Caenorhabditis elegans: one gene and its partners. The protein of the gene in region 4 interacts with the protein of the main gene of each other region in a pairwise test. Each region holds a gene or a part of one and is shown on either strand. Other genes may lie near its edges. The genes, in order: scrm-7, vbh-1, Y57G11C.22 and brp-1.

Evidence for each region.
Region 1: the proteins of brp-1 (region 4) and scrm-7 interact in a two-hybrid assay, tested with the Caenorhabditis elegans proteins (one large-scale study listed by BioGRID).
Region 2: the proteins of brp-1 (region 4) and vbh-1 interact in a two-hybrid assay, tested with the Caenorhabditis elegans proteins (one large-scale study listed by BioGRID).
Region 3: the proteins of brp-1 (region 4) and Y57G11C.22 interact in a two-hybrid assay, tested with the Caenorhabditis elegans proteins (one large-scale study listed by BioGRID).

The regions. Positions count from the first base shown.
Region 1 is NC_003283.11:14,777,673-14,781,465, forward strand, and holds scrm-7 (Phospholipid scramblase), read right to left. Parts: upstream 2,070-3,793; 5' UTR 2,043-2,069; coding exon 1,896-2,042; coding exon of another isoform or gene 1,799-1,895; intron 1,753-1,798; coding exon of another isoform or gene 1,697-1,752; exon of another isoform or gene 1,664-1,696; intron 1,616-1,663; coding exon 1,256-1,615; intron 1,155-1,255; coding exon 968-1,154; intron 926-967; coding exon 738-925; 3' UTR 531-737; downstream 1-530. Other genes in the region: Y50E8A.10 (uncharacterized protein), read left to right, coding at 2,409-2,462, 2,515-2,601, 2,761-3,006, 3,049-3,092, 3,162-3,289, 3,336-3,406.
Region 2 is NC_003279.8:3,157,970-3,164,368, reverse strand, and holds vbh-1 (RNA helicase), read left to right. Parts: upstream 1-1,977; 5' UTR 1,978-2,085; coding exon of another isoform or gene 2,086-2,153; intron 2,154-2,199; coding exon of another isoform or gene 2,200-2,233; coding exon 2,234-2,451; intron 2,452-2,579; coding exon 2,580-2,630; intron 2,631-2,666; coding exon of another isoform or gene 2,667-2,675; coding exon 2,676-2,726; intron 2,727-2,772; coding exon 2,773-3,085; intron 3,086-3,153; coding exon 3,154-4,214; intron 4,215-4,261; coding exon 4,262-4,446; intron 4,447-4,501; coding exon 4,502-4,605; 3' UTR 4,606-5,877; downstream 5,878-6,399. Other genes in the region: Y54E10A.6 (B3/B4 tRNA-binding domain-containing protein), read right to left, coding at 280-412, 549-677; mrpl-17 (Large ribosomal subunit protein bL17m), read right to left, coding at 856-1,131, 1,184-1,285, 1,347-1,553.
Region 3 is NC_003282.8:14,835,689-14,840,240, reverse strand, and holds the start of Y57G11C.22 (PRKCA-binding protein), read right to left. Parts: upstream 3,031-4,552; coding exon 3,025-3,030; intron 2,924-3,024; exon of another isoform or gene 2,902-2,923; intron 2,429-2,901; exon of another isoform or gene 2,408-2,428; intron 2,406-2,407; coding exon 2,312-2,405; intron 2,244-2,311; exon of another isoform or gene 2,222-2,243; intron 1-2,221.
Region 4 is NC_003281.10:12,018,992-12,025,845, reverse strand, and holds brp-1 (uncharacterized protein), read right to left. Parts: upstream 5,295-6,854; coding exon 5,217-5,294; intron 4,530-5,216; coding exon 4,350-4,529; intron 4,293-4,349; coding exon 4,047-4,292; intron 3,703-4,046; coding exon 3,256-3,702; intron 2,318-3,255; coding exon 2,110-2,317; intron 2,057-2,109; coding exon 1,866-2,056; intron 979-1,865; coding exon 670-978; 3' UTR 525-669; downstream 1-524. Other genes in the region: Y79H2A.12 (Serpentine Receptor, class BC (Class B-like)), read left to right, coding at 178-287.

The DNA of each region.
Region 1 (3,793 bases), on a different chromosome or scaffold from region 4:
AAAGTAAATCATTCTAGAATTAAAAGGTGAAATTAGTCATAGTCAGGTATTAACATTTTAAAATATGCAGTCTTCAAAATACAAAAATTATGTCTCTTCGAAGTTTGGAATTCTCCTGGAACTCGTGCTCGAAGGCGCACGAATGATATTGAACGGGACTCGCCGCGATCTGAATTGTAAGCAGAGTTTTTCGCTTTTTTTAGATTTTTCTTGATTTTATGAGGATTTCGCAATATTAACCAGAAGGGAAATGTTGCTCAAAAGGTACAATACGATGCATCGCAACGAACATTTGTGTTAAATCCAAAATGGTGGGAGCCTTTGAGGATTACTGTAATTTACTAACTTTTCAAATTGATTTTTCACTTTCCATGATTCTTTCGAAACTTGACAAGCTATTTGAAAAAATCGACGCAACAGCAAAACGTTAGAAATTACAGTAATCCTTGAAGACTCACCATTTTACATTCAACACAAATAATGAATATTTAGTCACCGTTATAATAAAGGCGATGGACGAAAATCATGGTGAAACGTTTTATAGGAAAGTTGAATACGGTTTACAAACAGCTCAATCAAAGATATAGCATCTTTGAAAATGAAATCTGTGGAAACTTTTAAATCAATTTCTGAACGAGACTTTGAAAGGTAAAGAATATTTGAAACGAAGGCTTTTTTAATAAATAAAATGCAGAATTTGAAAGAATCCATTTGACATCACACTAATACCCAAAAAATCAATAGAATCCAGGGAAATATCCAGAAGAGAATCCACTATGGTAAGAACGTTGTCTAACATAATGTGATCCTCCATATCCACGATACATGTTATTTTGTTGTCCATTATTTTCAAAGAATGTGAAATCGATAAGGAATACAGACGAGATGAGCAAAAGCTTCAAGATTGGTGGAAGATCCATTGGGACTGTAAAATTGAGAATTAAATTAGTTTAAAGAAGCTACTTACAATGCACAATATAAGTATCTGCATCAGAGTACATTTCTTGCATATATCCAGGATAAAGGCGAACAATTTCACCAACTCTCATTCCATTGTAGGTCATAACTGGGAAGCTTCTGGTTCCACCACTTGCAGCAAACAACGGAGAACGGATCAGAAGAGATTGATTGCTTCCCGCGCCGAGAAGATGGAACTGAAAAAAATATATTCACGAATGTTTCAGCCAAGAAAGTGAAAATGTTTCCCAGAAGGTAACCAAGTTTTGCCAAAAGACTTGATTTCTCATAAACTCACATTGACATCCCCATGAGTTCTCGACATAATTCCAATATTCTGTCCCAGAAACTGTGTAGTCAAGTGATCCGTGAATGATCCCCAAGGCTGATCTCTGTGACATTGCATAACATGTGCACCAAATAAATCTGTACACATCATTGCAAAGCTTCGATGAGATCCTTGCATTTGACGAGCAAATCCATTGGATCTTTCCATACAATTCATAATCGGACGACAGTACATATCATGAACAACATATTGATTTGGCGTCTCGATTCCTGTTGCAATTTCCAGAGGTTCTAGTGCTTGAACAACCATCATAGAGTTGGTCCGAGAAATCATATCCAGAACATTGTGAGCCGGAAGGTTGTTGAAACCCTGAAATACAGCATTTTTGCATGAACTCCGGTGTAACGATGAACTTACGATTTTTTTTTATTTTCTCATTTAATTAATTTGTTAAAAAATCGGTAATTGAACCCTGCCACACTTTACACACTCACAGTCGGTGTCGCCTAGAAGGTAGCCTTTATAAGCGACTTTCACCTAACTTCAGCCTACCGATAGACAAACGACAGGCATGCACAAACACATGAGACACTTGCCTACCAAATAAGTCCCAAGGCAAAGACATATGATGTTTCTCTGTGTAACTCACTGTCATTCTAACTGGCATAGAAGCCACTTGATTTGGAAGAACGATTGGTGTCGATCGAACTTGTGGCATGTGTCCACCTCTTCCAGCTTGTGCTCGAACTTCAGAACCATCGGCTTCCACGTCATCCTGTTTTGTTTCCATTGTCATGAGTAAATGCACCTTCTTCGTCACGAATGAACTCTAGTAATGAACAAAAATCGGTACTTTTCCGATTTCTGCCCCCCCCCCCCCCCAAAAGTTTTTGATATTTTCATTAATGAAACGTGAACTTTTCGGAATTTCAGGCTTAGTATTGCTGTTTTCAAAGCTTAAAAATTGAAATAGTATTCAAATAAACGTACCCAAAAATCAATGAATAAACTTTCAATAAAACACGATGAGAAAAAAAATTAATTCCCGTGAGAGAAAAAAAATCAAATATTCTATTCACTTTTCGATTCAATCAATACTCGAATCCACATACTCATATTCGATTATTTCTCAATTTATTCCGTTTATTAAACGAATCATGTGATGGCGGTTTGTATGGATACATTCTTTATCTTCAACTCTTTCATAATGATAACGGTGAGCTACAATGACTACAAATTGCACTGACACTACAAACTATAAATTACAGAGCACCATATTCATCATTTGCTTTTGCAAACCACCCCGTCAGAAGAACAGTTGTCATGTTCGGGAGATGACAAATTCCATGAGAGCGGTATGTGAGGGGGAAGCTGCAAAAATCAATGAGTAGGCACGGAATAGGCATGATGCCGGGCAGGCAGGCGGATGTTGAATTTCTAGTACCAGAACACTTTGAAAACCGAACACTGATTAATCTGTAATATCTTGTAATCTCTATATTTCTGATTTTTAGGCGCCGATCTCGGATGCAATACCGGATAGTACTCGAACTGCGTTGGACAAAGAAGAGAAGAAGAAAAGGAGCAAAGATTCATCGAAAAAGTCAAACAAGAAGAACAAAAAGAAGAAGTCAGCGGATTCTTCCATGAAAATTTCGAAAAAATCGAGCAAGTCGAAGAAATCCAAAAAATCTGAGAAAGGGAAGAAACCAGAAGCCCGAGGGAGGGATGAGGGCGAGAACTCAACGCAAAGATCTGGAGTGAGTTGAAATGATGTTCAGGTTACCAGAGTTCTTTTTCAGGCGGCTGAGACAAACGGACCACCCGTTACAGCTAAAAGTGCATTGTGAGTTTCGCCTGATGCAAGTTACAAATCCCGGTCAAAGTTTTGTTCCTAACTATTTCTGATTTTCAGGAGTAAAACCGCTAAAAGCGTTCCGAATGCCCCTAACACCAGTGTCAAGCCGACTTCTCTAGCTGCCAATTCTCCAGCCCCGTCGTACACAAACCCAGGAACACCAGCTGCTAATTCGGTTCCCGATAGTCAGTTATTTTAATGAGGAAAAGATCTCAATGAATATTCTTTCAGCAGCCAACCCAAGATCGCTTCCAGTTGGAATTCCCGGTGCTCCAGGCTGCCAGTCAATGCCAGCGTTTTAAAGAGAACTACTATGTGAAATAAAAGCTTTTTCTTGGAGATTTTGTTTTGAAATTACTTAATTTTAAAACAACTTTTTACAGTATTGAGACCAATTTTTAGAAATCTGAGTTTGAAAAGATTTTTCAATAATTGATTCCAATCTTCAACATTTCCAAGATACCCGATTTTTCTGGGATATCTGCAATTGGAGTTACAGCTGGAACATTCATCTCCAGCCATTTGTAATTCCAATAACAAGGTGAAGATGTGCAGGATGACAATTGGAATATGATGACATTTCCAGAGAAGGCGTGGTTTGTCTGGAATTGGTATATAAGCAATCTATCCACCCGGGATAATCATTTAGTCTAATTTGCTCCTCTCCAATCAGAATGTGTTCTTATTCA
Region 2 (6,399 bases), on a different chromosome or scaffold from region 4:
GCATGAATTCAAAGTTTAATTTTTTCCGGCAAATCGGCATACTTGAAAAAATAGAAAATTTCCGGCAAATCGGCAATTCGCAAGAATTTAAAATTTTATTTTTTTCCGGCAAACCGGCAATTTGCCGGAATTAAACATTTAATTTCGAAATCATGTCATTCAAAATAATTCAAATTTTTTGTTGCGAAATTGAAAAGATATGCTATTTAACAGTTATATTTGGTATATTTCGACTAATTTCCGTCTAAAAAAACAAAAAAAAATCCACAAAATACACACCAAAAACGTCTGGAAGCTGTTTTAAATCATTTTTCGGCAAAACCAAATGCATTAGATTACTGCAAGATCTAATCGAAGACGAAAGATTGTGAAGAGAGCATCCAGTGAGAGAAAGGAGATTCAATTGGGACATCTGAAAATAAATTTTGGGTTTTGATGGGAATTTAGTATTATAAAATTTACAAAAAAAAAATTTGTTTGAAATTCCGAGAAAAAAATCGTTTTTTTGCGGAAATTCACGGATTTTCCAAAAATTAAAATTCCCTTACACTCTCGAAAACCCGTTTCTGGGAAAGATTGGCCGCTTCGGTGACCGAATCGATTCGAACATTTTTGATGACAATTTCGAAGCGATTATTCTCGATCGCCTCTATTACCTCCGGTTGCTCTTCGAACATTATTCTGAATTTTAATTTTTTCGGTGAAAAAGTGGGAAAAAAATTAGATAAAGATATAAATAATTGAATCGAACCACAAAATTCGTTATAAATATTGAAAATGATTCAAAGTTTAATATATAAAGAAACAAAAATTCTAGGATTCTAGCGAAACAAAAACAAAAAAAATAATAAAAATTCATTGAGATTTCTTCGGAGTATCCAGCTTTTCCTGAAGATTCTTCTGGTGATTCCGAAGGGCGTCAGCTAGAAGAACATCAAGAATTGATTCAGATTGATCTACGCGGTCTGCTTGTATTTGTGGAAATGGATTTCCGTCGATTTCCAGAACTCCGATATCGTATCGCTTCCAGACTTCTCGCTTATTCTGGATAAATTGTTGAAGACGTTGTGGTGGAAGTCGGAATAGTGATGTGAATGGAGAATCGCGGTCTTGGAATCGTGGAACAATTACCTGGGAAAAAAATGATTTTTTTTTGGCGAAAAATCTTTTTAAATCAATTTACTTCATGCATTTTCGTAATTAAATCCTTCTCAGGCAGCCACCATTCCATCATTTCGGCTGTATACTCGTCAAGTGGTCCTCTTTCGACACCCAATTGAATTAGCTGAATTTTATTTTTTTAAATTTTAATTTTCTCACTCATTTTCAAACAAAAAACCCCTCACCCTCTCCAAATATGGCCTGGCCTCGACGGCGCGGTTCCATTTCAGCTCGGCGCGTTCCTCACGGACAGTTCGGGTGACGATGCGACGGAGCACTTCGAGACGAGCACGACGGCTTGGCTCAATTCCTCCGGTTTTCAGCTTTTGTGGTGCGTGACCAATTGTGACGCCGATTCTTGGCAGTGACACTGCCACTCGGTGAGCTGACATTGCCTGGAAATCTTTTTTTTATTAATTTTGAGTCGGAAATTCAAAAAATTGAATAAAATCCCATATATTTCAATAGAAATTCTAATAAAAATTAAATTTAATTCTATTTCGCGAAATTTCGGAGCGTTTTTTGCGTTGAAACACGCTTCCTCACACACGCACTTTAAAGGCGCACCGATTTACACGGTCGGCGGGTCTCGATGGGAAAACAAACGTCTCTTCATCATTGCGTGCTGAATTCACTTCTCTCATTTCCGCTTCTTCTCTACGGTTTTTCGTGTCGATTTTCTCCATTGTCATCGTTTTTCGCATAATTTTCGAGTTAAATTATGCGAAAAATGATAATTCGTCGTTTATTAATGATAAATACTCATTTTCTCCGTCTTAAAACTTCATTTGTTTCGCAACAAGCCAATAAAATGAATTTCAGATACATATTCTGTAATCTCGACGTCAATTGGGTACAAAATCGGTTTAGATTCGCCGATTTTTCTTTTTCGAATTCCGGGTTTCCGTTTGATATAGTCTTACAATGAACACACAATATTATGCGAATCACAACGGTCAACAACAGCCGCCACAACAACAACAGGGACAAGGGTATGATTTCGAAACGGATTTCAAGATTTCAACCTCATTTTTTCAGCTGGTCATCCTCGTATTCTCAACAGAGCAATAATATGCCTGCAGGAGGCGTATTTTACAACGGATTCGCCAACGGAACTCCGTCAAACAACGGGTATGCAATTCAACAACCTATGGTCCCAGGGATGGGGCAGATGATGGGTGCTCCTCATGCTGGATTTGTTCCTTCTCCTTACTTTCAAGGGCAGCCACAACAGCAGCAGCATTTCAAAATGGGCTACTCAGAAAACTTTGAAAACTTCGATGAGAATGGGTGAGAACAGGTGTATAGTGTGCTGGTGATTGTGTTTGCCTCTAACCATATGCTTGTTCTTCATTTCCTTTGTTGCTTTTTGTTAACCTGAAATGAGGCTTCTCTTTTATCAAATCTTGAAATTGCAGATCGTCTGGGTACAACAACTTCGCCGACAGCGGAAACGGTTTCAACAACAAGTATGTTTAAATCTGAATTACAATTTTTATTAGTAGACGTTACAGTGGAGCCGAGAGTAATCAATGGGGAGGAGCACCTGCCGAATATTCCGAAAGGTGAGATTAAAATGTTCTGATTATTAAACGCGATATGGTATTTCAGCAATTTGTTCCACCGTACCGACAGTGGCATCAACTTTGACAAGTACGAAAATATTCCCGTAGAAGTCAGCGGAGACTCCGTTCCAGCAGCCATCGAGCATTTCAATGAAGCTGGTTTTGGGCCGGCTGTGATGGAGAACGTGAATCGCAGCGGATACTCCAAGCCGACTCCTGTCCAGAAACACTCGATCCCAACTCTTTTGGCTAACCGCGATCTGATGTCTTGCGCTCAAACCGGATCTGGAAAAACTGCCGCTTTCCTGCTCCCAATTATTCAGCATATTTTGGCTGGTGGTCCAGATATGGTCAAGCCGGTAAGTAGGGCAAACCTGCGATCCATCAAAATTCGAAAAATTTATACAAAAAACTATTTTAATTGCAGCCAGCGTTCACAAACGGTCGTCGCACTTACTATCCATGTGCTCTGGTTCTCTCGCCGACTCGTGAACTTGCCATTCAAATCCACAAGGAAGCTACAAAGTTCAGCTACAAAAGCAACATCCAGACGGCTATTCTTTACGGAGGACGTGAAAACTATCGTGATCAAGTGAATCGTCTTCGCGCTGGAACGCATATCCTCATTGCTACCCCAGGTCGTTTGATTGACATTATTGAGCAAGGATTCATTGGACTCGCCGGATGTCGTTACCTGGTTCTCGACGAAGCTGATCGTATGCTTGACATGGGATTTGAGCCGCAAATCAGAAAGATCGTTGGCCAAGGAATGCCACCAAAGACTGCTCGTACCACAGCTATGTTCAGTGCAACCTTCCCGAAGGAGATTCAAGTTCTCGCTAAGGACTTCCTCAAGGATAACTATATCTTTTTGGCAGTTGGTCGTGTTGGATCAACGTCTGAAAATATTGAACAACGTCTGCTTTGGGTCAACGAGATGGAAAAGAGAAGCAATCTGATGGAAATTCTGATGAACGAGCATTCTGAAAATCTGGTTCTCGTATTCGTTGAGACAAAGAGAGGAGCCAACGAGTTGGCGTATTTCCTCAATCGTCAGCAGATCCGCTCTGTTTCAATTCACGGAGATCTCAAACAAATTGAACGTGAGAGAAATCTCGAGTTGTTCCGCTCTGGACAGTGCCCAATTCTTGTCGCAACTGCTGTTGCCGCTCGTGGATTGGATATTCCAAATGTGCGCCACGTCATCAATTATGATCTTCCTGGAGATTCTGACGAATATGTTCACCGTATCGGTAGAACCGGAAGATGCGGAAACCTTGGAATTGCCACCAGTTTCTTCAATGACAAGAATCGAGGAATCGGTCGTGATTTGAAGAATCTGATTGTCGAATCCAACCAAGAAGTCCCAGAATGGCTTCATCAAGTTGCTGCAGAAGGACGCATTGGAGGTGGACAACGTGGTGGAAACCGTCGCTTCGGAGCAACCGACTATCGTGTTGGTCGTGGTGGTGGTGGATCGTTCGGAGGGTAAGATCAAATGAGCAGTTGAAAATTAATATTGCTAATAGTTTCAGAAACTTCTCAAATTACAATTCCGGTGGAGCCACTGGTGGTTTCGGAAGTGGACCCGCCTACGGTGGTTCGTTCGGAGGAGGAGCACCACGTCGCCCGTTCACGAATGGAGGATTCGGAGCTCATAGCTCTCTGTCGTCTACCTCTAATAGTGGTGGCGGTGGCGGCTTCAGTGGCCCAAGAAGAGGTTTGTGGAGAAAATAAAGAAAATAATGCAAAATTAATCAATTCCTTGATTTCAGGTGGCTTCAACAGTGGAATGAACCGTCAGGGTGGTGGCGGTGGAGGTTTTTACTCAAACCCAGGCCAGGCTCCAATTGATCATTGGCAAGCTCCACAAGCTTAAACATTATTCGCAACAAACGGAAATCCGGAATTCCACATTAAAGTCTCGCACCATACTCCTTTTTTTATAATTTAGTTGTCTTCCTTTTTTCCTTTACTCGTTCCATCCATATTAAAATAATCATTTTTTCCTCCTTCTCTTTTTTATTCTGTCTCCTTCTTTAAAGCGTGGCTTATTCCTCTCTTTTATTTCATATTATTCTCTCTGTAATTGTGTTTTAATCATTCAATTTTTTTTATCTCAGAGCTTTAAGTGACGAATATTTTAATGGATTCTATGCGTGATCTAGGGTTTTAACATTGAATTTTATTGTATCCTCCCATTTCCCCCAAAAATGTTGTTGTTGCCTGGCAATTTGTACCATTGTTTTGTTTCTCTTGGTGTTGTTTTCTTGCATCAACAATACCCCGAGAGAATCAATGCAGTTTTATCTCGTAGTTTTGTAGTTTTTCTTATGGCCGCTGGATGGCATCCGATGCACTACCGCGTCGGGGACTCAGCACGGTTTTTCTCTATTATCGGTTGTTTGTAAGCTTTGTTGAAACCCGTTTACATAGTGCTGCCCGTTGTTGATTCGTGATATTGTGTGTATTTTTAATTAATTTTTACTTGTTCCCCAATCTGATCCCAACCATTCGTCTTGCAATTATTCAATTCTTAACTTGGTATAGCTGCGGGTGTCTAATTATATTTTCATAATTGTTCGCCAGTATGATCGTCAGTTTATCATTAAATAATTGCGAGTTAGGTATAAAAAGCTTGGTTGCTCTCTTATGATAATGATCTCCCCCCACCTATCCCCAAATCTCTATCATTTTTCCCTCCAACTGATGTTTTTTTTGAGCCAAGTAATATTCATTGTTAGTTGTTTTTTCTCCCTCTAAACAGTATACACGAAAATCATAGAACCAACCATTTCATAATACTCAAGTTGCACTATCATATGCGTCTCGTCAATAGCTAATTCCAAACATTTTCTAGGCCGGTCTAAGCCGTTGAACGTGCAGTCCGTTTCCACGCTTTCTCTTCAATTTCTATTTGCCAATTTCTCCCCAACCAACTGCATTCTTGTCCAATATGCACAATTTTTCTTTTTTATTTTCATCGTCCCTCTCCCATCATTTTTCTCTTTCCCTCGTCACGCACTTATCTCTGTCACTATGAGATTCTTATCTTCTTTTTCCATCTTGAATGTTCACTTTCAGCTCTTTGAGAATAATCTTAAAAGCCCTTGTGGCCTGACAAATAGTTGAATAAACTTGGTATCTGGTACTTGAAAACATTTATACGCGGGCATGCTGATGCTCTCGTTGCATATAAGAAATGACCGCAAGAAAATTATCTATCTTCACAACATGTCAAATGCTACGTGGTCGTTAATAGTCTAGTCCTAGGCCAAAAAATTAATGTATTAAATATTGCCTCATGTCAGTCAAATTTTCATTTCTATTTGAAAATTTGTAATTATGATTCCAGCAACTTGTAGGCTAAATTCCCGGGAGTTTATGTACCTTCGTTTCCGATGTCATTCAACTTCGAAAAAAAAAACAATCAGCAGTCTTCACCCTCTCCATTGTTGTCGAAATCCTGAATTAAAAACAATTATCATCAATGAAAATTGATAATTCTTGCCTTTCAAATAGAAAAATGCCGGTCTTCTCCTTAAAAATCTGCAAAAGAGGGGGGAAAAATGAGTAAATATGCTTTTGTGGGAGACTCATCATCAAATGAAACCAATATTGCTCGTTTTTTCAATTAAAATTATATATTTAATGATAAAATAATAAAATAAAG
Region 3 (4,552 bases), on a different chromosome or scaffold from region 4:
ACGAAAAACTACCTTGCGCCTATTCATCTGTAAAAAACGTTTACAAATATTTGAAGCCAAAATACAAGTCGTTAAAGTATGAACAAGTCGAAAAGGTTCTCGAAGATTTGGAATCTTTTACGCTTCACCGCCCGAATCAATCGCGATTCCCGCGTCGGAAAACAGTCTCACCTGGTCTTTATGCATCTCTTCAAATTGATCTCGCAGATATGTCCCGGTACAAGAAGGAAAACGACGGAGTAACCTTTCTACTAGTCTGTATAGATATTTACTCTCGACGGCTTTTTGTAAAAACGTTAAAGTCTAAAAAAGGACAAGAAGTGGCTCTAGCTCTACAAGACATTTTTAAAGAAATTGGTGTCACACCAATGACAATTTACAGTGATGATGGAAAGGAATTTTACAACTCGCATGTCAAAGAGTTGTTGGCCAAGAATTTTGTGAATCTATTTTCACCCAAAAGCGAAATAAAGTGTGCAATTGTGGAGAGGGCAAACAGGACTCTGAAAACTCGATTGGCAAAGTACATGACTCAAAAGTACAACCGACGTTATGTGGACGTTTTACAACAAGTTGTGAATGGTATCAACAATAGCGTTAATCGTGGAATTGGTAAAAAACCAGTAGACGTTGAGCGGGGAGATTTTTCAACTCCGATGCCTGTAGACAGCGTTAAAATCAAATTCAGAGTAGGAGATCACGTCAGAATCGCTGCAAAACGAGGACAATTTGACAAGGGCTACGAACAAGGATGGACTACAGAAGTTTATGTAATTTCCAAAGTGTTTGCAAGGAAACCAGTTACCTACAATATAGTAGACACTAATGGAGAAAAAATTGCCGGAATATTCTACACTCGAGAACTGACTAAATGCACATATAAACCAGACGCTCAGTATCGAATTGAAAAGATTTTAGCCACTCGTACAGTACGCGGAAAGAAACAGCACCTCGTTCGTTGGGACGGATATGGTGCCGAATTTGACTCTTGGATTGATGCATCAGGAGTATTAACTTTATGATTTGTCCATGCCAATTTCAAGAGCCGCCCACTTTTCTGAATTCAATCTTCATTTGTGCTCAATTTTTTGTTGTACGTAGTGACTTTTTTTGATAATGTCCTCATTCTCAAACTTTTCTTATCCTGATCCTTCACCTGCGAACGTCTTTTGGAATTTTGAAACTCTTCAAAACTCGTCTCAGGAACCAGAGTTTTTGCCATCAAATGTTTCTGATATTCCTATGTCGGAGAAGAAGGGAAAGAAAAATGTGAAAACTTTTAAAACGACACACACGGCTGCCAAGACAACGGAACCCCAGTTTGCTTTACGAAAAATGGAACCACTTGCCGCTATCCTGTTTTGTTCAGATTGTCAGGACGGTGCACAATATGATGGGTCAACTTTGAAAATTGACGTTTGTAAGAAATGCCGAAAGAATATTGGAAATTATAAAATTTGATTGATTGTATAATAATGTTTGAATTGTTAGTAATGCATGTAACACTAATACTTATCCTTATCTGTAATTGAATAAATAATAAAAAATGTAAAACATGTTTTTTGTAGGGAATGCTCTTTAAAGTTTTCGATAACGGGTGGAGAACCCTTTATCGAAAAACTTCAAATAGCTTTGAATGCATCATTTTTCAAAAGCACAGGTAAATTGAAAAAACTTGTTCATCAACTTTTACTCTTGAAACCCCCAGGGGCGCGGGGAGGGGGGCCTCCTTCCTTCATCAATCTCGGTAACGCTTGCATTCATTCAAATCGCGTTTGGGAAAAAGACGTCTCCTAAACGGCAGATGTTTCGAAATAGAAAAGAGTCAAATGCTACTGGGTTTGCGACTACGTCTATAGTGTATTGGTATGGCATCTGTTTTAGACGAATAGTGTCCTGGGTTCGAACCCGTCCCCTGGTTGAATGAACCAAGAACATCAAAAATGTCTTACCAGTCTCTTTCTCTAAATCTCTCAAAAACGCACACTATTTAAAAATCGATTCTTTCTTACTATAACCAAATCTCTCACTCTCTCGTCTTTCTCTAAATCTCTCGTTTCACACACTATTCTTGGTCAGACGGTAAAAAAAAACCAAGGAATGGTAAATTGTACACTCTACCACTACTAGCGTAATATTTCAAATTGTTTGAAAAACATTTTTTTTTCATTTTTTTCTGTTTCTAGTAGTTTTTAAATGAAGTGTTTCAAAAACCAAACTATTCACTTAAACATTATCGAGTTATTATTAAAAAATTATTTTGAGTTGGTTTCCATTTATATACAAGCATCAGAGAAAAAAATGAACAAACCAATTGAAATTCCGACGACACCTTTTTCATCTTTAGTCAACTCAATTGTCTCCGATTGAATTCTCATTCCGAGCCGGTCTTCTTCGATTTGGAACTGTAAAATATGGTTAAAAAACAATAATTAATTTGAAAACCTACAAATTATTTGTTAGAAAGTGAAACAGTAAGTTTTTTCACGATTATGGTAACCAGAGGTGGGCGGATATTTTTTCGGATATTTTCTAATAATGAATTTATCAATAAGTATTGATGTAGTTATTCTGGAAGAAATGTATCCAAACCAAAGAGTAACTATTAAGCAACATTTTAATATGATAAAACCTAGAAAAATTCTACAAGTTTTCCTTACCGAGACCTTAAAACTTATTAGCCGAGCAACATCGGATATCGGATATTACGGATATTACGGATATCGGATAATGGACTTGCATATCGTTTATACAGAAAACTTGTAGAATTTTTCTAGGTTTTATCATATTAAAATGTTTCTTAATAGTTACTCTTTTGTTCGGATACATTTCTTCCAGAATAACTACATCAATACTTATTGATAAATTCATTATTAGAAAATATCAGAAAAAAATATCCGCCCACCTCTGATGGTAACTATAATAGTTATGATTTTTATTGTTCTTTTTTAATAAAAACATGAAACATTCCAGTTTTTTTAGCTCAATTTCAAACTACACAAACAATTGAAAAAAAATACTTACATCCATAATTAATTTTTCTGCTTTAAAATCGATTGTCACTCCTTCACTCCTTCTAGCAGTACTAAAAGCTTCACGAGCAAAAAGAGCACAGAGACGGAGAGATGTAGAGACTACGAGAGAGTGTAGAGAAGCGGGAGACGCAGACAATCATGCACACTGAAAATGGAGAATGAGAGGAGAAGGGAGGAGATGCATGGAAGATGAGCTCAATGTGCATTTGATTCAAAATGGGGTTAGTGGCAGAATTTAAGACGACAAGAGAGGCCTTGGGAAGCTTGAGAAAATATATTGTAGGCCGTGCATGAATCCTCAAAATGTCTGCATGTCTAAAAAGCGACCACTAATGAAAACGAAAATTTCGTAAATCTTCAAAAAAATTATCAACTACAGAAGAAATGCCTGGATTTAAAACTCCTTGCTGAAACAGAGAAAAAACAAATTGATGAACTATTTTTCACTGAGATTCTGAGATTGTATTAAACCAGAAACATAACTAAATTTATATTTGGCAAAAGACTGAACTGCAATTAAAATTTTCAGTTACAAACTATATCCTACAAACTACCAACTAGACAAATTTCTCTTTGACGGAAATTTGTCGCAGGAATACAAATTGATAAAGGGAATACGATATACATATTTAACGCTCATTAACTACATTAATTTTTTGCGAGATGCTTTTAAAAACTTGTTGAAACAGAACAATATTTTCACTAAAAATTCGCAACCTTTTCACAGAGTTTATACATTTTCGGCGTAAGTGTAAAAAAAATCTCAATGAATTCAGATTCTGCAATTTTCCTTGTAAATTCCAGGAAAACTCCCGTTTTTTAAACCAAAATTTAAAAAAAACGAGAACTTTGTAAATCTACACTAATACCAGTTTTCCAAAGTTGAGGTTAAAATTGCAGCATGGAACCGATTAGAAACTACAGAAGGTAATTTTTTTTAAAAACTCACTGAAACAGGAAAAAAATTAATAAAATGTTTTCATTTTTTATAGACTCTGAAAATGTGTTGAGCTAGAAACATAGTAAAATTTCTTGAAATTTATATATTGCCGCAAACAGAGAAACTTTGAACTAAAGTTCACCGTTACAAGATACTTTTAAGGACTTCGTGAAACAGAACATTATTGTCACTAAGGTTTTGAATATTTTCCACAAAGTTTTTTGTGATCAGTTAACTAGTTAGTGAAAATAACTGAAAAAATAACTTGAAAATAGGAAATGTGTAACTTTTTCTTAGTTTTCAGAAAAAAAAATCTCTAAATTGTTATATGAAGTTGGAAAACCAAAGTTGTTCGATTTAAGAACCAAAATAGTATTAAACCGAAAGCATAACAAAATTGTCTGCAATTAATATTTTGACAATAACTGAATTGGAATTAAAGTTGACAGAATTATTATGGGCTACATATCCACTGATTCCTAGCGGAATAATAAAATTCATCTCGAAGAGATACCTTTGAAAACTTATTGAAACGGGACATTATTTTTTCTACAAATTCACAAATGTTTCACAGGAG
Region 4 (6,854 bases):
GCGCGGGAATTCAAATGTTTCAAATTTAATTCGGTCGTTTCTATGAATTTTGAAATATGTAAAAATTCACTAAAAGTTTAGGACATTTTTGAAAAAATTTTCACAGTCATATTTGGTCATATATTCTAGGCGTATATTCTGTAATTTAAAGCGAAAAATTGTTTAAAAATTTTTCAGTATCAATAATCAAATTCATTCTAATCAATCGATGTTACGTCTATGCAAAACGAATCGAGAATGGGATGCTGGTTAGACAGTCGGATTTAACAAATGTGATGAAGTTTTGAAAGTTCCTTGGAAACACGTGGTGCCAGGCTGTCCCACCACGGTTTGATCTACAAAAAATGCGGCAATTTTTTGCCAAAAAAAGTGTGACGTCAGCACGTTCTTAACCATGCGAAATCAGTTGAGAACTCTGCCGCATTTTTTGTAGATCTACGTAGATCAAACCAACATGGGACACTCTGACACCACACGTTCTGAAATAAATACTTTTTTTTTCTTGATTTGCAAATACAAATTCAACAGCGAATAATTTTATTTACAAACCTGCACGCGTAAAAGATGGGATGATGATGATGATGGAAAATAATCGGGGGAGGACGAATTGTATAACAATTATTACATTCGAAAATTATTTTTTTTTAGCTCAGCTCAAAATTAAAATTCTCAAACAATCAGTGGTTTCAATGGTTTCTGAGTGGTTGCTGCTGTCTCAGCCCCTGCTGCCTCGAGAGCCTCACGTGGTGGATTGTTCTCGAAGAATTTGAGAACAGCTGCGAATGGATCCAACTCCTTCTCATGATTATCTTCAGATGATGTATGTTCAGCATCTTCTTCAGATTCCATTGGTTCAGGTGTTGTGGTGCGTTCTTCGATTCTTGGGAAGCTGTCCTCAATCACAATTGCTCCCTTTCCTTCGAGTTCTGGCTCTTCGGTGGTTGATGGGGTGGCTGAGTTGAGCTCTTTGTTGGCCGCCTGGAATATTACTCATTATGCCTCAGTGAGCACAAAACAGGGGTGGGCCGGAAATTGCCGTTCGGCAAATTTGGCAAATTGCCGGTTTGTCAATTTGCCGGAAATTTTGATTTTCGGAAAATTGCTGATTTGCCGTTTACCGAACATCAATTTGCCGGAAATTTTTAGAGAAATTTTTTATAAGACGGAAACACTTGCCTTTTTGAAATTCAAATTTTTGCCGGTTTGCCGATTTGCCAGAAATTTTAATTCCGGCAAATTGTGGTTTTGCACTTTTTTTTGGCAATTTCAGAACTTCAGAATTACAATATTAGTCGGCAAAATTGTACCGTGCCGACTATATATAAATAAACAATCTTTCTAAACACTTCCGGCAAATTGATATCCGGCAACTCGGCAAACCGGCAGAGAGCCGGAATTGAAATTTTCGGCAAATAGGTGAATTGCCCGAATTAAAACTTTTGGCAAATCGGCAAACTGCTGGAACCAGATCCGCAAATTGCCTGAACTTAAATTTTTGACAAATTGCCGAAATAGAAAATTTCCTGCAAATCGGCAAACTGGCAAAGTGCCGAAAATGAAAATTTCCGGAAAATTGGCAAACTGCCGGTATTGTAATTTCCGGTCAATCGGAAAATCGACAGATTGCCGGAACTCAAACTTCCGGCAAATTGGCAAATTGCCGGAATTGAAAATTTTCGGCAAATTGGCAAACCGGCAAGTTGCCGAAATAGAAAATTTCCTGCAAATCGGCAAACTGGCAAAGTGCCGAAAATGAAAATTTCCGGCAAATCGGCAAAATTTCCGGCAAATCGGCAGCAAATTGGTAAACCGGCGATTCGCCGATTTGCCGATTTGCCGAACCAACATGTTCCTGATGTACAAACCTCTGAATTCTTTTGCTCATCGAAAGCTGAGAAGATATCTCTGAGAATAGTATCAGAAACCTCAGCGGCATCCTCTGGCATTGGTGTGCTGCTCGTGACAACTGCTGGGAATGCAGTGTTGATGGGTGAAGCTGTGACGTCAGCAGTTCCAGATGCAGCTTCTGGAGCTGGAGTTGGAGTGATTGCTGTCCCTGATACAAGATTAATTGAAATTTTTGGGCTTTTTGCAAAAAAAACAACTAACAGATTTGACGAGTTGGTGCGTTGACTGGAATGTTCTGCGACTTCTTCTGAAGTTCCTCGTAGATCTTATCGTGAACTGATGGTTGTGGGATTGGTTGGAAGAATTGTGGAGCCTGTGGGAAACGGTCCTCAGGTTGTTGGGTCTGTTGTGGTTGCTGCTGATGCTGCTGTTGTTGTTGGGATGGGAAGAAGAATTGTTGGGGTGGTTGCTGGAATTTTTTTGATGGTTTTTTGACAAAAAAAATAGTGAAAATTTTTATCGGTTTCAGATCCCGAAAACTAAGCAAAAAACAGAGGTGGGCGGCAAACGATTTTTTTCGGCAAGCCGGCGAATTGCCGGAATTCACAATCTCTGGCTTATCGGCAAGTTGCCGGAATTAAGATTTTCCGGCACACCGGCGAAGTGCCGGAACTGAAATTTCCGGCAAGTCGACAAACTGCCGGAATTGAAAATTTCAGGCAAATCGGCAAATTGCAGGAATTGATAACTTCCGGCACATCAGCAAATTGCCGATATTAAAAATTTCCGGCAAATCGACAAACTGCCGGAATTGATAATTTCAGGCAAATTGCCGGAATTAAAAATTTCATGCAAATTGACAAATTTCCGGAATTGAAAATTTCCGGCAAATCGACAAACTGCCGGAATGGAAAATTTCCGGCAAACCGGCGAACTGCCGGAATTCATAATTTCAGGCAAATCTAAAAATTGCCGGAATTGAACATTTCCGGCAAATCGGCAAATTGCCAAAATTTACAATTTCCGGCAAATCTGCAAAATGCCGGAATTGATAATTTCAGGCAAATCGGAAAACTGTCGGAATTGAAAATTTCAGGCGAATCGGCAAATTACCGGAATTGGAAATTCCCGGAAAACCGACAAGTTGCCGGAATCAAAAGTTTCCGGCAAATCGGCTAACCGGCAAATTGCCGATTTTCAGTTGCCAATTTACTCAAAAAAAATTTGCCGAACTGCAATTGCCGCCCACCCCTGATCCAAATACGACGAAAAATTTTCGAAGTTTTTTGAAAAAAATTATGAAAAAAAAAAGCAAAAATTCAAATTTTTCAAAATGGAAAATGTGTCTAAAATCCAAATGCCAAAAAATTCGTAGCCCATCATCTAAAAATCTACAAATCGCCTTACCTGCCAGACAGTTGGTCTCTCCCATTGTTGCTGATGCATCATTGGTCTTGGCCAGAATCTCTGTCTCTGCTGCTCCTGTGGCTGTTGCTCCTGCTGTTGCCATTGGGCCTGGGCCTGAGCCTGCTGAGTCTGAGCCTGCATCTCCAACTGATGTTGTTGCCAGAAAGCTTGAGCACGCTGCTGTTGAGCATAGGTCTGTTGAGCCTCGTACTGACGACGTTGTTCCTCTTCATAGCGGGATCTCTCGGCCCATTGCTGACGGGCGGCCTCTTCCTGCATCTGTTGCTGTTGTTGTTGCATGTAGGCCATCTTCATTTGTTGTTGTTGGTAGTAGGCGGCTTGAAGTCTTCTCATTCTCATCATTCGCATTGCCATCATTTGTTGCATGTACATACGTTCCTCCATTATTTGTTGGAATTGTTGGCGGGCCTCCATCATTCGGTATTGCTGAAAAAATTGCTTTTATTGATTTATTAGACTCAAAATTGTCTGAAAATATCGAATTTCTTAATGAAACTTCTTAAAAACCTCTTGAAAAAAAAGTTATGGCAGCTCAAAAAATGGCCTAAAATTTTTAAAGCAGTTTAGCTGGCTTGAGGCGGGTAGGCATTCCCTTCAGGCAGGCCCTGGAACCGCGCCTGTCTATGGAAGCCCTACATATGCATATATATATATATATATATATATATATATATATATATATATATATATATATATATATATATATTTATATATATATATATATACAAATCCATATTTATGTATATATATGGTATAATTTGGTAACTAACCTCAATCTCATCTGGATGAAGTGGGCGATCCAAATTGGTAGAGGACTTCTCCTCAACTGATCCATCAACAGTTGTCTTCTTTTGACCTTCATTATTCGAAATATCCTCCACTACAACTACCCGAGCCAAGGGAATTGCCATCATTCCTGGATTTTCCGCAGAGTTTATAGTCTTTTCAGATGATCCATCAATTGGTTGAGCTAGAAGTGCCTCCATTTGTGGCTTGTTCACGGATGTTTCGGTTTTCTGGAATATCAATTAATTAAGTTTAAAAAAGCTTAAAATTAAAAAAAAACCCTGTACCTTGAAGAGATCAGGAGTAGCGGCGAGGAAGTAGAAACCGATGAGTGTCACCAGCAAAAGACACGTGGCAAAGAACATGCAATGGAAGCATGCTCTCATCGCCTGGAAAGCTGGCGATGGAGCAGGCTTCATTGGTGGAGCCGGCATTGGGATCACTGTGGGCTGGAGGACTGTGAACACCTGGAATAATTCAGATTTTGTTGATATTTCTACTAACGTTATTATTATTATTGTTACCGAATATATTCTTTGTGAGAAAATTTGAATTTCGCGCCAAAAAATGTTCTCAGAAAATTTGAATTTCGCGCCAAAAATTATTCTCGGATAATTTAAATTTCGCGGCAAAATACGTTTTCTCATAAAGTTTGAATTTCGAGTCAAATGTATTTTCTCATAAAACTTTAAATTAGCGCCAAAAAAATTTCTAATAAAATTTGAACTTCGCGCCAATATACGTTTTCTCAGAAAATTTGATTTTCCAGCTAAAATTTTTTTGTGAAAAATTTTGAATTTCGAGGCAAACTGTTTTTACACGTGGTGCCGGGCTGCCCCATCACGGTTTGATCTACAAAAAATGCAGGAACTTTTTTGCCCAAAAAACATGACGTCAGCCATGTTCTTAACCATGCGAAATCAGCTGAGAAGCCTGCGTCTGAAATCCCGCATTTTTTGTAGATCTATGTAGATCAAGCCGAAATGGGACACTCTGACACTACGACTTGTTACTCATAAAATTTGTAATTCGCGCCAAAACGTGATCTCTTAAAAAAAATTCGAATTTCCAGCTGAAATTTTTTTATGAGAAAATTTGAACTTCGCACTAAAAACAGTTCTCAGAAAATTTGAATATTTTTAATAGAAACTCACTTTTGGATCGATCTTGATAGACTCCTTCTCAACGTCCTCACTCCCGTGAACGCCGGGCTGTGCGCCTAGTTTGGTCATCTGTAAATGATTCTTGATTAGATATTCGAGTAAAAGACAAAAACAAAAAAAAGAGAAGAGATCAATGCGCACAATAGGAGAATTAGAGAAGCGGCTCACTTTCTCTCGCGGAGCATTAAACATTTTTGACAGGTTGGCATTCACGACTCTTCCGCGCGGTGTAGGAAAATGAACAAAAAATGATCTCCCGATGTTTTGATAGGAAGTGACACCAAGTTTTGAAGAAACACACAAAACGAGTTTTTAAAATAGCCGGCCACTTGGTTACTGTACACTTGAGAGAGGAATGACGTCATTCGTTTTTGTTTTTGACCAGAAAATCTCGATCAGATGATGATAAAGATTTCTGTGAAAAATTTTAAAATGATAAAGGATACTTTGATTTTTGATTTCTTTTCCATTTTTTGCAGCAAGGGTTTAAGGGCAGAGTATAATATACAAAGTTTGATGGTTCAGGTAAAAATAGGTAGGATGTGTTAATTCAAATGCGGAGGGTTTATTTTTCTCTTATTATAAATATTAATGTGCCTGCATACAAGGTGGAGTACGGCCTAAAATGAACAAATATCATAGTAAAGCTATTAATATAATTTCGGAACATTTTTCATTTTGAGTTAAAAAAAAAGTTCTGATTCCAGTTTTATGCTTTAATTATTTTTGAAATATTCATACATGCTGCAGATTCTTCGAAAAAATGTCTACATTTTTTTGAAATGTTTTAGTATGATTTTTGGTATTTTTAGCGCTCTGCATGATTTTTAAAAAATGTGAGTTATAATAATTTTTTTTGTAAATTTTGTGATTTTTAGTTAGTTAAACTCATATCGAGAACTGTCTTAAAACGAAAAAATTGGTGAGAAAAAGCCCGTTTGCTCTAAAAAATATTCATTTAGAACTAGTATTGGTGGGCGGCAAACTGCCGGTTTGCTGATATTCCGGAATTTTCGATTTTCGGCAAATTTCCGATTTGCCGGAAGTTTTTAGAGGGCTTTTTTATGAGACTGATAGTGAAACACGAAATTTCGAACAAAAAAAAAATGCAAAACCACAATCTGTCCGACAATTGCCGTTTTTCTGGAAAATGCGGCAAATCGGCAATTTGCCGGTTTACCGACTTGCTGAAAATTTCAATTCCGGCAATTCGCCAATTTGGCGGAAAAATTATTTACCGCCCAACCCTGATACATGCAACACTAACAGGGAAGTATGTATATACAGAAGTTTACGATACATACCGTATTTCCTCTATTAGTTTTGCACCCGCTTGCTCAACTTTGACAGCTCATATCTCAGTAGTTCTTTGTTCCATAGAAAAGTTGTCAACTGATAAAATTTTTGTGAGATGTTTTTCTATAGTTTGTAGTTTGTTAATTATTTATATGTTCAAAACAAAATGAGATATGAGCTGTCAAAGTTGAGCAAAGGGGTGCAAAACTAAAAGAGGAAATACGGTATATTCCAAATTATTTTTGTCCTATTATAAGTTATTATCGGTTTTTAATGTGGTTGCCACAATTTTAAATATTCTCCGATCAGAATTACAGTATTCCCCTCCCCCCC